Saccharomyces cerevisiae S288C: one gene and its partners. The gene in region 1 interacts genetically with each later gene. Each region holds a gene or a part of one and is shown on either strand. Other genes may lie near its edges.

Region 1 (6,649 bases):
CTGAAAATTATAAATCTAACATGAAGGTACGATTTCTACTAAAAAGAATTCATTATCAGGAGCATTTGTTGCAGCAGGCTTCGGATCAGCTTATTAATTTGGAAAATATGGTGTCAACACTTGAGTTCAAAATGGTAGAAAAGCAATTTATTAATGGACTGAAAAATGGAAATGAAATCTTGAAAAAACTAAACAAGGAATTTAGCAATGTTGATGAACTGATGGACGATGTACAAGATCAAATTGCGTATCAAAATGAAATTAACGAGACATTATCTAGAAGCTTAGTCGGAACAAGCAATTATGAAGACGATCTAGATAAGGAATTGGATGCTCTAGAAAGTGAACTCAATCCAGAGAAGATGAATAACGCAAAAGTAGCTAACATGCCATCAACAGAAGGTTTGCCATCATTGCCTCAAGGAGAACAAACCGAGCAAAAAGAAAGAGAGGAATTCGCGACGGAGGAGAGATCAGACACTAAGGAACCTTTAGCATTACTATCCTGAATGTCTGTATGTAGCTTCAAAATTAAAAATAAAGGGAATGTAAATAGGTTCCTTCCAGGTTTTTCGTTGATAGAATTTGTTTAGTATTTTCAAAAATAAATACTAAGTTTATATAGTACTTTTATAGCTAAGCCAAGACGTGATAAATAGTCGTTAGAATTTTTATTGTTAAAATGAAGCATCAGCTATCATCTCTTGACTTGTTCCATACTACTAGAAGATTATCATATACGACATAAAAAGATGATATAAAGATTGAGAAAAGTCTAGAGATGTAATGGAAGTTTCTGTCCCAATTATGGCAACTATTAATTTATGTTAACCTTTAAATTTTGCTTGAAATAAAATGATGAATGACAATATATTAAAAGAAAAACAAAATAGAGGAAAAAGTTATAATATTATCGTGTAAAAATATCGATTCCTTAATGTGGATTTCAAGTCCTCGAGGTGAATTTCTCCTATAATCTGAATTCACAGCATCGTAGCCTTCATCAACAGCAAAATTTCTGGGGATAGTGGCTTTTTCTTTATATATTTATCCTGAATCAATGAACTTTCCTAAATTAAAGTTCTTGCACAATTTTCAATGGTCATGCCATGAAATAATACTATTTTGTTAAATGTCGGAGATATTTCAAAAAAAGAATAGGACATGATATTTAGGCCATATATTGAGAGCTACATTAAAAAAGATCCTATTATTAGAGGAAAGTTTCCTGTACGGTTGACCTGAAAAAAGAAATGTTCTTCTATAAAAGATTACATAAAATGTTTAGTCCATAAAACCATAAGTATAGGTCCAGACCATCACAAATAACAGGTTTCGTGGTCTAGTCGGTTATGGCATCTGCTTAACACGCAGAACGTCCCCAGTTCGATCCTGGGCGAAATCATTTTTATCTCAGCCGTTACGGAAAGTTTTTTAACGCCCGTCTGGCGTCCCACCTTTTAGGTAAAGACTCTGAAGTTACCCTCTACCCTCTTGGAATTGCGGCAGTAAGAATAGTTAAAAACATAATTTAGTAAGAAGCAGGATGTATATTTTAATTTATAATAGTGTGATGAACTCCCCTCCTAAATGCAGTACATAGTAAGAATTTCCATGAAAAAGAACAACTCAACTGCGACTGTTTGTTTTATCCTCAGTTTTCAGACTCCTCAATGCAGTTTTTTTCTCAGATTAAACTTTTACCTTTTCATCTATTTAGCCGCCAAGGGAAAATATGCACTACCCGGAATGATGGCGTTAAAAGTGACTTAATCTATAGACATGTCGCGACGCGACGCGTAAAGTTGTATAAACAAGTGAAAGTTTATAAACCTAGGCTCCATCGAAATTGTTGTTAATTGTAAAAAGACCTAAAAGAAGTTTATCCACCTTGTTAGTTTGTATCCGGTCTCAATTTTTACAGGTATATTTGTAAAGAAGCAAGAAATAAAGTGCGAACAAAATGGCTAAAGGTGCTGTTACTAAACTGAAGTTTAACTCACCTATAATATCTACCTCCGATCAGCTGATATCAACAAATGAACTATTAGATCGTTTAAAAGCTTTACATGAGGAATTAGCCTCTCTGGATCAAGACAATACAGATTTAACGGGATTAGATAAATATAGGGACGCACTAGTTAGCAGAAAATTATTAAAACATAAAGACGTGGGGATCCGCGCTTTCACCGCTTGTTGTCTAAGCGATATCCTGAGATTATATGCTCCAGATGCGCCTTATACGGATGCTCAACTAACGGACATTTTCAAGCTGGTGCTCTCACAATTTGAACAATTAGGTGACCAAGAAAACGGCTATCACATCCAACAAACTTATTTGATCACTAAGCTACTAGAATACAGATCAATCGTATTATTAGCCGATTTACCTAGTTCAAACAATTTACTTATCGAACTATTCCATATTTTTTACGATCCTAACAAGAGCTTCCCCGCAAGGCTCTTCAATGTAATAGGCGGTATTCTCGGTGAAGTCATCTCTGAGTTCGATTCTGTTCCCCTAGAAGTACTAAGATTAATTTTTAATAAGTTTTTGACCTATAACCCGAATGAAATTCCTGAAGGTTTGAACGTTACTTCTGACTGTGGCTACGAAGTTAGTCTAATTTTGTGTGATACTTATTCCAATAGAATGAGTAGACATCTAACTAAATACTATTCCGAGATTATTCATGAAGCAACTAATGATGACAATAATTCAAGACTTCTCACTGTGGTAGTGAAATTACATAAACTGGTATTGAGACTTTGGGAAACAGTACCCGAACTGATCAATGCAGTAATCGGATTTATATACCACGAATTATCTTCGGAAAACGAGCTTTTCAGAAAAGAAGCTACAAAATTAATTGGTCAAATACTTACCTCATATTCGGATTTAAATTTTGTTTCTACACATTCCGATACGTTCAAGGCATGGATTTCCAAAATTGCTGATATTAGTCCCGATGTTAGAGTAGAATGGACAGAATCAATTCCTCAAATCATTGCCACGAGAGAAGACATATCCAAAGAACTGAATCAGGCACTGGCAAAAACCTTTATTGATTCTGATCCTCGTGTACGCAGGACTTCTGTTATGATTTTTAATAAAGTTCCCGTTACTGAAATTTGGAAAAATATAACCAATAAAGCCATTTATACATCTTTACTTCATTTGGCCCGAGAAAAACATAAGGAGGTTAGGGAACTCTGCATTAACACTATGGCCAAGTTTTACTCAAATTCATTGAATGAGATCGAAAGGACATACCAAAATAAAGAAATTTGGGAAATCATAGACACCATACCATCCACTTTATACAATCTCTATTATATCAATGATTTAAACATCAATGAACAAGTCGACAGCGTAATTTTCGAATACCTACTACCGTTTGAACCAGATAACGATAAAAGAGTCCACAGACTGCTAACGGTTTTGTCACATTTTGATAAGAAGGCATTCACTTCATTTTTCGCTTTCAATGCAAGACAAATCAAAATATCCTTCGCTATATCCAAATATATTGATTTTAGTAAATTTTTGAACAATCAAGAAAGTATGAGCTCGTCTCAAGGTCCTATTGTAATGAACAAGTACAACCAAACTCTCCAGTGGTTAGCTTCTGGCCTTTCTGACTCTACGAAAGCAATCGACGCCCTCGAAACAATAAAACAATTTAACGACGAAAGAATCTTTTATTTATTAAATGCCTGTGTCACCAACGATATTCCGTTTCTTACTTTTAAAAATTGTTACAATGAATTGGTCAGTAAGTTACAAACGCCAGGACTATTTAAAAAATATAATATATCTACTGGTGCTTCCATTATGCCACGTGATATCGCCAAGGTAATACAAATTTTGCTTTTTAGAGCCTCACCAATAATTTATAATGTATCCAACATCAGTGTTTTATTGAACCTATCTAATAATTCTGACGCAAAACAATTGGATTTGAAAAGAAGAATCTTGGATGATATATCGAAAGTCAATCCCACATTATTTAAAGATCAGATTAGAACATTAAAAACCATTATCAAGGATTTGGATGATCCAGATGCAGAAAAAAATGATAACTTGTCATTGGAAGAAGCTTTAAAAACCCTTTACAAGGCTTCCAAAACATTAAAGGATCAAGTGGATTTTGACGACACGTTTTTCTTCACCAAATTATACGATTTTGCAGTTGAAAGTAAACCAGAAATAACGAAATACGCCACAAAACTTATCGCTTTATCGCCCAAAGCTGAAGAAACTCTGAAAAAGATAAAAATACGTATCCTACCTTTAGATTTGCAAAAAGACAAGTATTTTACATCTCATATTATTGTACTCATGGAAATATTTAAAAAATTCCCTCACGTCCTAAATGATGATTCCACTGATATCATATCATACCTAATTAAAGAAGTTCTATTATCAAACCAGGTCGTTGGTGATTCAAAAAAAGAAATTGACTGGGTAGAAGATTCTCTATTAAGTGACACGAAATATTCTGCAATAGGTAATAAGGTGTTTACTTTAAAGCTGTTCACCAACAAATTGAGATCAATTGCTCCGGATGTTCCACGAGATGAATTGGCAGAAAGTTTCACCGAAAAAACTATGAAGTTATTCTTTTACTTGATTGCAAGTGGTGGTGAGCTGATTTCCGAGTTTAACAAGGAGTTTTATCCCACCCCCAGTAATTATCAAACAAAATTGAGGTGTGTGGCAGGAATTCAAGTTTTAAAACTGGCCAGGATTTCTAATTTGAACAACTTTATCAAACCTTCGGACATTATTAAATTAATTAATTTGGTTGAAGATGAATCGCTGCCAGTAAGAAAAACATTTTTGGAACAACTGAAAGATTATGTTGCTAATGAACTGATTTCCATAAAGTTCCTACCACTAGTATTTTTTACTGCTTATGAACCAGATGTCGAACTGAAAACCACAACGAAGATATGGATAAACTTTACATTTGGCTTAAAATCATTTAAAAAAGGGACGATATTTGAAAGAGCTTTGCCTAGGTTGATACATGCGATTGCACATCACCCTGATATTGTGGGAGGTTTAGATTCCGAAGGAGACGCATATCTAAATGCTTTAACAACAGCGATTGATTATTTGCTGTTTTACTTTGACTCTATTGCCGCCCAAGAGAACTTCAGTTTGCTCTATTATTTATCAGAAAGGGTAAAAAACTATCAAGATAAGTTAGTTGAGGATGAAATTGATGAAGAAGAAGGACCACAAAAAGAAGAAGCGCCAAAGAAGCATAGACCTTACGGTCAGAAAATGTATATCATAGGTGAGCTGTCGCAAATGATTCTATTGAATTTAAAAGAGAAGAAAAATTGGCAACATTCAGCATATCCAGGTAAATTAAACTTACCATCAGATTTGTTCAAACCTTTTGCAACGGTTCAGGAGGCCCAGTTATCTTTCAAAACATACATACCAGAGAGCTTGACTGAAAAAATACAAAACAATATAAAAGCTAAAATCGGACGGATTCTTCACACGTCACAAACTCAAAGACAAAGGCTTCAAAAGAGGTTATTAGCTCACGAAAACAATGAATCACAAAAAAAAAAGAAGAAAGTTCATCATGCGAGATCACAGGCTGACGACGAAGAAGGTGATGGGGATCGAGAATCAGACAGTGATGATGACAGTTATTCACCGTCTAACAAAAATGAAACCAAGAAAGGGCACGAAAATATTGTGATGAAGAAATTGAGGGTCAGGAAAGAAGTTGACTACAAAGACGATGAAGATGATGACATCGAGATGACTTAGAAGGGAAAAAAACATCAATTGCTATGTTGTAAATGGAAAAAAAAGGAAAATAGGTAGATCTCTCACTTTAAGATGCGATACATATGCCTATGTATGTGTGTATATATGTAAGGAAGGTGTTCACGTTCCTGATTTATTCTTTATGTATGTACGCCGTTTCTATTCGGATTGGTTTTCGGGATTTTCTATGTTTAAAAATTTTAACAGTTCTTCCTTTGGTTTGGATTCGATAATCTTCTTTAAATATAACAGATGCTTTATTTCATCGCTGGAAAAGTCATTGAATTGTATAGAATCTAGTTCGTTCGGCACGACTACGTTAGTCAGTTCTTTCAAATCCCATAATTTTCTTAAGTTATTGCTTTTGGAAGCCGATTTATTGTTACTACTCTTGTCGTTGTTGCTAACTTGGAAATATATTAAAGAGGCTATGTCTTTGACCATATTATCCTCGCTATTGCCATTTTGGGATCCATTTGATACTAACTTATCTATTAAACTTTCTTGAAATTGAAAGAGTTTTCTTTTTTGAACCATTTTTGATTTGTAAATTTTATCAAAAAAATCATATTTAATGGAATTTTCATCTATTTGTGTAATTTTGAAATCTTGATTGAAATCATAATCTGTATGACTAGTTGTTGGTATGATTTGAATGTTCCCGTTATTTTGGTAGCCTATTTTTTGTAAAGGTTCATAATAAAGTTGGTTTTTCTTGTTTATCAATCGTTGTTTTTTCCACACCTTATAATTTACGCTATTATCTTCTTGACAATGGTGTATCTTTTTGTAAACTTTAGTTGGGGAATGTAGAGGACATTTCCATTTTGAACCTAAGTTCTTGAAAGAAGC
Region 2 (4,462 bases), on another chromosome or scaffold:
TATTTTTAACTGTAAAGTACAATCGATTTCCTTTAGGCATTTCTACTTTCTTCTGACCCTGATTTAAAATTTTCGAGTTCTTTTTGTTACGATGCGTTATTTATTGTCGATTTATTACATATAATTCTTTATAATATAAAAGTGCAATACAGTGCATCTAGATATGGATTTTCAAAATTTTGCAGAATATGATCGGTTTGCCTACAAGATAAAAGTAAATTATTCACAATTTCCAACATTTAAAAGTGGCGATCGCATAGTAAAAGCGTTAAGAATGATGCTACATCCCACATGAGAGTGGTTCGATTATGCTGAATTTCAACACCAATTCAATATACTTTAATTTAAACAGACATTTATGATGCCAGAGACATAAAGGATCCGAAAGGTTTTAGGAACACCTTAGTGGAAAATCATTTTAGCGTGGCCGGGAGTACCAGATTTTTCATAGTTCCCTATTGCAATCAATTTGGATTTTTGCTGGCGTTGCATCATGGCTATGTTATCCAATGCATGCCAAGAGTGATTTACTTAAAGAGTAACTTCGTTACAAAACATTACGTTATACTTCAGTGCGATAATTTTTCAGATATCAAAAATTATACTACATTATACAACAAAAGCGTGTAGGTTTACCTATTGCTTATAAGACTAGAACAACTCTTGGTCAAATATCTTTATTCCATATGTCGACTATTTGTGAAAGCCGGAGCTTTTCGTCTTCTTTAAATTTGATCAACTTTCCAAACTCACCTTCCTTGAATAATGTGCAATAATTGAACAAAAAACACTCTCCTGAGTTAATCCATCCTGATATACTAGTATCTGGTATTATAATCCCTTCAAGTTTTACTGGTGATGCATAATATTCACGTAATTCATCTGCATTTTGGAACATATCATTTAGTCTCTGTCTATGCTCATAATCGTATTCCCATGAAGTTTTTTTACAAATATTAAGGCCCCCGTTTAGCCATAGCAAGGACCCGTCCCTGTCTGTATGAGATAGTTGCACAGAACAAATCTGGTAAAACTCACCGGTACTCTCTTTTGAAACTACATTGCCCAACTGACCAATGTTTGATGCATCCACAGGATGGAACGTAAAGCGATTGTTCGAAAGTAATTCGCCCAGCCAAAAAAAGTCCTTATCACCATGAAAATATTCTGCAATTGGAGAAAATTGTAAAGCTATTGAAGTAAGCATACTGAAGAGATGCTTTCCTTTATGCAATATTACCAGGCCGCTTTCCAAATGATGTTTATATTTCTTTATAAACATGTTTTCCAGAACCTGTGCAACCACTGGATCCTCTACTTGCTCATGTATCTTGGATTCATCCTCTAAATCAAGCCCAATACACCCATAGACAATTTCCCTTAGAATTTTTAATTCAGAGGATTCAAATAGATCATCTGATATTACCCGATCTTTAAAGAATAGAACTCCAGTCTTTTGAAATTCCTCTAATTCATAAAATTTTTCTATTGAAACAAAGGGCACTGTATCTGAGTCCATTAGAATAGGAATTTCAAAGGATGAGAAGGTCAATGCTAACCACTTGTTGGAATAGGTGGTAAATTTTTTCGAATATTTCGGGTTTAGCAGACTATGTACATTTAAAAACCATAATTCTTGAGCAGGATATTCAGCGGTGTCTAGACTTCTCGCATATTTGATAATAGATTTCATGGAATCTTGACTCAGATCTGCATTATGAACAATCTGTATAGGATAATCATTTTTGATGAACCTCAACACTTTCAATAAGCGTATGGTTTCATTCAACTGCACGTCAGAAGCACTAATAACTATGCCTTTCGAACCACTTTGAGTCACAGTGTGCAACCAATTCTCCCAAAAAGATAGCCCTGTATCGAAATTGATGGGCTTAGAACGAAGGAATTGATGGTTTTTGGGGTCAAATTCCAACATAGACGCATGGTAAACCTCGCCATTCCATCTCGTAGTTGTGTGCCAGAAGGCACTTTCATCAGTTTCTAATTTTTCAAAGTTAATATACGGAAAGAGCTTCTTTTCAATATCCCTCAAACGCTGAATATTATGCCCATCAACCTGCTGCAAGCAATTAAAAAAAATCTTAATCCTCGTAACCAGTTCAATCACATCTTTTGCAGGATTCGGGGTTATTTGATTTACGTCGTAGAAGTCATTCAACCACCCAGGCGTAAGACCTTCATAGTAACTCCAGCAGCCACCATTGCCACTGCTGCTACTTTGAACTGGTTCTACCAAATCTAACGAATTCAACTGAGAGTAATATACTACTAACACAATTCCCAGTAGTACAACTAATATAAACAGTCGATTTTTTCTTCTCATATTCGATAAATACTATTGGGGCTACTTTTGTCCTGTCACTGCGGATTTGCAAACACTCATGCGAATATTTTACTCAATTGAGAGATTTGCTGTCTCCCCCCACTTCGATGGTCCCCACCCCTAAAGTAAAGGAAAGAAGAATTAGCACTGTTTTAGTTCCAGGTACTTCTTTCTTTCTTTACCGGTATTGTGTGGCTCATCAAAACTTCGTCTCGGGAAAATGAAAAATGTAAACAAGAATTTCCGTTTCAAAGAGTTGCCTAAGGCCCACTAATAATGTACTTATTATTTACAATTCGGAGAACGCTGCTGATAGAAATCAATCAAGAAGTCCCTTAGTCTTTGTGTGTTTACGCCATATTGCTTAGTTTCGTAGTGCGTTACAGTTCTATCGTGTGAAAATTTTTTTCTAATGCATCAGCTGTTATGCGCACTACTTGAAAGGTTATCGAGCGTTTGTAAAAAGTAGAAGTACTTAAATGAACCTTCACGGTTAAGCAACCAGTATAATTGAGGCTGCTGATTTGAAATTGCGTTTTGTGTTCAGAAGGATCCCCGGAGGCCTTCAATGAGCTTCCATTTTATTTTCTCCAAGGAGGCCATTTTTTGTAGTGTGATGTTGACATGGTTATAACTGTTAGCAGTGTTTGTGATGATGGCTGTAGTATCACCGCAGTGGATTAGCTATGAAAAAAAAAAAAAAGAACTAGTTTTTAGTTCGCGCATCACGAGGTACGTGTTTAATATGTCAGATGCTTGGGATCACGTATGCCGTTAACTCTACAAAGCAATTGATATTTTGCTGCCTCAAATATCTCACACTACTAGGATATATTCTTTTATCAAACAGGAAAAAAGGGCAGCGTACCAACATGTATAAAAGGGTTATTAGCATTTCTGGTTTATTAAAGACTGGAGTCAAACGTTTTTCTTCTGTCTATTGCAAAACAACCATCAACAACAAGTTTACATTTGCAACAACTAATAGTCAAATAAGAAAAATGTCTTCCGTTACTGGGTTTTACATTCCACCAATCTCTTTCTTTGGTGAAGGTGCTTTAGAAGAAACCGCTGATTACATCAAAAACAAGGATTACAAAAAGGCTTTGATCGTTACTGATCCTGGTATTGCAGCTATTGGTCTCTCCGGTAGAGTCCAAAAGATGTTGGAAGAACGTGACTTAAACGTTGCTATCTATGACAAAACTCAACCAAACCCAAATATTGCCAATGTCACAGCTGGTTTGAAGGTTTTGAAGGAACAAAACTCTGAAATTGTTGTTTCCATTGGTGGTGGTTCTGCTCACGACAATGCTAAGGCCATTGCTTTATTGGCTACTAACGGTGGGGAAATCGGAGACTATGAAGGTGTCAATCAATCTAAGAAGGCTGCTTTACCACTATTTGCCATCAACACTACTGCTGGTACTGCTTCCGAAATGACCAGATTCACTATTATCTCTAATGAAGAAAAGAAAATCAAGATGGCTATCATTGACAACAACGTCACTCCAGCTGTTGCTGTCAACGATCCATCTACCATGTTTGGTTTGCCACCTGCTTTGACTGCTGCTACTGGTCTAGATGCTTTGACTCACTGTATCGAAGCTTATGTTTCCACCGCCTCTAACCCAATCACCGATGCCTGTGCTTTGAAGGGTATTGATTTGATCAATGAAAGCTTAGTCGCTGCATACAAAGACGGTAAAGACAAGAAGGCCAGAACTGACATGTGTTACGCTGAATACTTGGCAGGTATGGCTTTCAACAATGCTTCTCTAGGTTATGTTCATGCCCTTGCTCATCAACTTGGTGGTTTCTACCACTTGCCTCATGGTGTTTGTAACGCTGTCTTGTTGCCTCATGTTCAAGAGGCCAACATGCAATGTCCAAAGGCCAAGAAGAGATTAGGTGAAATTGCTTTGCATTTCGGTGCTTCTCAAGAAGATCCAGAAGAAACCATCAAGGCTTTGCACGTTTTAAACAGAACCATGAACATTCCAAGAAACTTGAAAGAATTAGGTGTTAAAACCGAAGATTTTGAAATTTTGGCTGAACACGCCATGCATGATGCCTGCCATTTGACTAACCCAGTTCAATTCACCAAAGAACAAGTGG
Region 3 (5,008 bases), on another chromosome or scaffold:
GAATTTTGAAGTAGAAATCGTACAGGTATTATTAGTGTTCGCACTAATTTCATTGGCATTGCTAATCCTGTTATTTTGGAAGGAGGGGCGTAAAAGTGAGATTTTAGAAATTAAATTTGTTGATAATTTGAAAACCCTTTGGTGAGACGACAAATTTTGCTTTTTAGCTAAAGATTCCCAATAATCATCAACGATGCGTTGACCACCGGCAATAACAGAAGCACCGAATTCAACAAAGGCTGACCTGGCAGTTATATACTTAAAAGATCCTTTGGATTCTTCAGGAATGACACCATTTTTGGCCAAAAATTTTGTTTGTTCCTCAGAAGTTTCCATTACCAGAATTTGATCATGCTGGACAATAAACTCGTCCTCGTCATGCGTTGCGTTGCTTTGGTATAACACTTTAATGACATCTTGTAAAAGTACCAGAAGAACACCCATATGAGCCGTGAATGTGAAGGTGTTGAACAAATAATGTCTACCGCCAAATAATTCACCGTTCGAACCCACTTTTTTCTCACCATAAGCATCCAATTGTATCATCTTGTAGGATGTATTAGTAGCGTCTCTCGTCTTAAGTTCATCTATATATTTCGGTAATTCTAATTTTTTGTAGGGAAATTTGTCTAAGGGAGGTTGAACCAATTCATCTTGATCCAGGATTTGCAGAATTTGCTTAAGTATCACTCTTTCATGTTCTCTGATAAGTATTTTGGGTACTATAAATACAGCTCCAACCTCTCCTTGTTTTACAGAAGGATTATTTCCCTTTTCAAGAACGGTATTCCCTTCATCTTCGCCAAGCATATTCGTCTCTCTTTAAAACGCCCTTTGTTTTGGTTCTTCTTCCTACTTTTTTTATTTATAGTATTATACATTCCATGTTTTTCTTGTTTTTACATTGAGAAAAGTCCAGAAAGGGAAAAGTGATGGTTCGAAAAAAAAATATAGACGGCTGAAACTACAACTATATTTAATGCACAGGGCCACTTTCTGAACGGCTAATCTTTCCATGTCAGGATATATTTCCGTTGTACTTGACGAGGTCATAATACTCTGAAAATTTTTTTAGATACGACAAATATATCAGCTGCTAAACTCCTTTATGGATGTGTTGAAGGGAACACTTATCGCTTATTCTTCCTACGTGCTAGATTCCGTAACTGAGCTGTACTTCCCACATCGTAGTTGCCTAAATGTGAGAAACAAGAAGTGCCCTTCGTGCTTAGACCGTGGATATCATATATGTGAAGGTTGACAGTTCTTCCAAGTTTCAACAAACTATGCAAGACCTCCATTAATTTATACGCACATTCATTTGACAGAGGCCCTGTATACAAGAAGTACAGACAAAACTAACCGTTGTCCATATCCTACTATCAAACTATTCTTTCAGGTACGTTTTTACTGCCTGACCGGCTATAAGTTACAAAAGCGACTCCTTGAGATAAAAATTTTCTTCGAAAAATGCAGCATTTGGTTTGGCTGTTCACGAAAGTGGCTGCTTCCAGAGAAATCAGGTTTTCCTCGAGCATATGATATTTTAACGTAGAGGTTTATATTATAAAAGTGGAAAGGTAAAATCAACAGCGTTTATTTCCTCTATTCAATGTTCAGCAAGGACGGTAGAGACTACTATTGCTAAACAATTACTTACATGGAAATGTACTGTCAGTTGGATAAAAAAATCGACAGGAATATATTTTAATCACCTTTATAGAAGTACTGAATTTTTATGAGAAAACGTGAAAAAACTTCGTAATGTCGTCCTTATCCACTTCATTTGATTCATCGTCAGATTTACCAAGGTCAAAATCCGTTGACAATACGGCGGCTTCCATGAAGACAGGCAAGTACCCAAAATTAGAGAACTATAGGCAGTATTCTGATGCACAACCAATACGTCACGAAGCGCTTGCATTGAAAGTGGACGAAACGAAAGATTCTAGACACAAATTTAGTTCCTCTAACGGGGAGAATAGTGGAGTGGAAAATGGAGGCTATGTGGAGAAAACGAATATATCCACAAGTGGCCGCATGGATTTTGAAGGTGAAGCAGAAGCAGAAGCAGTGAAACGTTACCAGTTAAGATCTTTCGCGCTTTTAAGTTCTAATGCGAGGCCATCCAGGCTAGCAAAGTCTGAAACTCACCAAAAGCAGATTCATGTAGAGAGCATCGCTCCCTCTTTGCCAAAGAATGCGGCTTTAGAGAGAGGCCATGATACGGCGTTACCTGCCGGTACGTCAAGTAACAGATGCAACTTAGAAGCCTCCTCCTCGGCAAGAACTTTTACAAGCGCTCGTAAGGCTTCGCTAGTTAGCGCAATCTTTGAAACATCGGCTGAATCAGAGCATGGTACGCATCCCAAACAGGCGAAACTTAAGAGAAGAACCTATTCTACAATATCGACACATTCATCAGTCAATCCTACAACGTTGTTGACAAGAACTGCATCGCAAAAGTCCGATATGGGAAATGACACACGAAGAATTAAACCGTTACGTATGGATAGCAGGGTATCTTTCCATAGTGAGATATCGCAAGCATCCAGGGATTCTCAAGAAACAGAAGAAGACGTTTGTTTTCCAATGTTTCGACTATTACATACAAGAGTTAATGGTGTTGATTTTGATGAGTTGGAAGAATATGCCCAGATTTCAAATGCTGAAAGAAATCTGTCTTTGGCGAACCATCAAAGGCACAGTGAACGAACATACAATCATACCGACCAAGATACTGGATTTACTAACTCTGCTTCCACTTCAGGATCCTCAGCAGCTCTGAAATATACACCTGAAATTTCACGGACTCTTGAAAAAAATTGCAGCGTTAATGAGATGTACGTATCTGAAAACAATGAATCTGTGAGGGAAGATGATAAACCTGATCTACACCCTGACGTAACATTTGGTAGAAATAAGATTGAAGGTGAAAAAGAAGGAAATGATTCGAGTTATAGCCGGGCGTATTATACCCTCCAAAATACAGAATATCAAATTCCTAGTAGATTTTCGTTCTTCCGCTCTGAATCTGATGAAACTGTGCATGCTAGTGATATCCCTTCTTTGATATCCGAGGGACAGACGTTTTATGAGTTATTCAAGGGAGGCGATCCAACGTGGTGGTTGGATTGCAGTTGTCCAACTGATGATGAAATGCGTTGCATAGCAAAAACATTTGGAATCCATCCTTTGACCGCGGAAGATATCAGGATGCAAGAAACGCGTGAAAAGGTAGAGCTTTTCAAATCCTATTACTTTGTCTGTTTCCATACATTTGAAAATGATAAAGAATCGGAGAATTATCTTGAACCTATAAATGTTTACATCGTTGTTTTTAGGTCAGGTGTCTTGACTTTTCATTTTGACCCAATATCACACTGTGCCAATGTAAGAAGACGTGTAAGACAATTACGTGACTATGTCAGTGTCAATTCAGATTGGTTATGTTATGCTTTAATCGATGATATCACAGATAGTTTTGCTCCGGTTATTCAATCCATCGAGTATGAAGCTGATTCGATTGATGATTCAGTGTTTATGACCCGTGATATGGATTTTGCAGCCATGTTACAAAGGATTGGTGAAAGTAGGCGTAAGACAATGACGCTGATGAGACTCTTGAGCGGTAAAGCAGATGTTATCAAAATGTTCGCCAAAAGATGTCAAGATGAAACTAATGGTATTGGGCCAGTGCTTAAATCTCAAACTAACATGGTGAACTTACAAGCGGAACAAGAGAATGTGAACCAGAATAATAGTAATAACCAAATAAGCTTATCAAATAGCTATATGCAAACAACATCACAACCAAGGGGAGATATTGCTTTATACTTAGGTGATATTCAGGATCATTTGTTGACGATGTTTCAAAATTTATTGGCGTACGAAAAGATTTTTTCTAGATCACATGCAAACTACCTGGCCCAATTACAAGTGGAATCATTTAACTCTAATAATAAAGTTACAGAAATGTTGGGTAAAGTTACTATGTTAGGTACAATGTTAGTTCCATTAAATGTTATTACTGGTCTGTTCGGTATGAATGTAAAAGTTCCAGGAAGAAATGGAAGTATTGCGTGGTGGTATGGAATTTTGGGGGTACTGCTTTTACTAGCTGTCATAAGCTGGTTTTTAGCTAGCTATTGGATCAAAAAAATAGACCCACCTGCAACGCTCAACGAAGCCGCAGGTAGTGGGGCCAAATCAGTCATATCTAGTTTTTTACCGAAAAGAGATAAAAGATTTAACGATGATTCTAAAAATGGCAATGCGAGAGTTGGCGTTCGAAGGAAATCAACTGTCAGTCTACCCAGTAGATATAGCCGTTACAATTAACATGACCGCTATGGTAGGTCGGCAGATCTTTAGCAGGCAGAATAAAAGTCTGCCGAACAACAAGTTCCTGAATTTTGAAAATTTTTGGCACATTGGTTGACTGCTTTTAAAGCATTTTTTTGATATGAGGGCACAAAAATATGACGCTTCACTTAAAGTTTCTCATATTCTGACACACTTCAGTGATTTTTTAAATCACATTGCATATTTATACCGTAAAAGTTGTAGAGTTAGTTTTCTTTATGTAGGCCAATAAAATAAATTTGCTTGAGCTGCATTACTAGCAACATAATTGACCAATTTATACGTTTAGTTTTAACATCATCACAATGGTGTATAAAAAAAATTGGTACCGAACCATGATATAACAGACTTCTGATCAGAAGTACGAAGTAAAACCAGAGAACATTACCAAAAACTTTTATGATGTATCTATATTGTTAAATAAACGAAGCCTGACAGTGGAACTGCGCTTTTTTTATCTTCCTTACCATGACTACCATTTATGAGCGGAATAATCATATCATTTTTACGAAAGCACCGCCTAAACTCAAAAATGGAAATTAGTACAGGCGTATTAAACCAAGAAAATAGAAGCTGTCGCGATACTTATTTACAAAATAAATCTACGTGGCCACATACACATGAAAACCACAATAAACTTCTT

Evidence for each region. Genes that interact genetically often act in the same process or in processes that back each other up.
Region 2: mutations in PDS5 (region 1) and MNT2 together harm fitness more than expected from each alone (negative genetic interaction), as found in Saccharomyces cerevisiae (one large-scale study listed by BioGRID).
Region 3: mutations in PDS5 (region 1) and ALR2 together harm fitness more than expected from each alone (negative genetic interaction), as found in Saccharomyces cerevisiae (one large-scale study listed by BioGRID).

What each region holds. Positions count from the first base shown.
Region 1 is NC_001145.3:415,344-421,992, reverse strand, and holds PDS5 (sister chromatid cohesion factor PDS5), read left to right. Parts: upstream 1-1,963; coding exon 1,964-5,797; downstream 5,798-6,649. Other genes in the region: ESCRT-III subunit protein VPS20, read left to right, coding at 1-509; YMR075C-A (uncharacterized protein), read left to right, coding at 5,940-6,305; RCO1 (Rco1p), read right to left, coding at 5,957-6,649. UniProt on the Saccharomyces cerevisiae protein: Essential for the establishment and maintenance of sister chromatid cohesion at centromere proximal and distal regions during S phase. Also required for chromosomal condensation.
Region 2 is NC_001139.9:11,814-16,275, forward strand, and holds MNT2 (alpha-1,3-mannosyltransferase MNT2), read right to left. Parts: upstream 2,345-4,462; coding exon 668-2,344; downstream 1-667. Other genes in the region: alcohol dehydrogenase ADH4, read left to right, coding at 3,346-4,462. UniProt on the Saccharomyces cerevisiae protein: Mannosyltransferase involved in adding the 4th and 5th mannose residues of O-linked glycans.
Region 3 is NC_001138.5:32,605-37,612, reverse strand, and holds ALR2 (putative Mg(2+) transporter ALR2), read left to right. Parts: upstream 1-1,764; coding exon 1,765-4,341; downstream 4,342-5,008. Other genes in the region: SWP82 (Swp82p), read right to left, coding at 1-810. UniProt on the Saccharomyces cerevisiae protein: Plasma membrane magnesium transporter.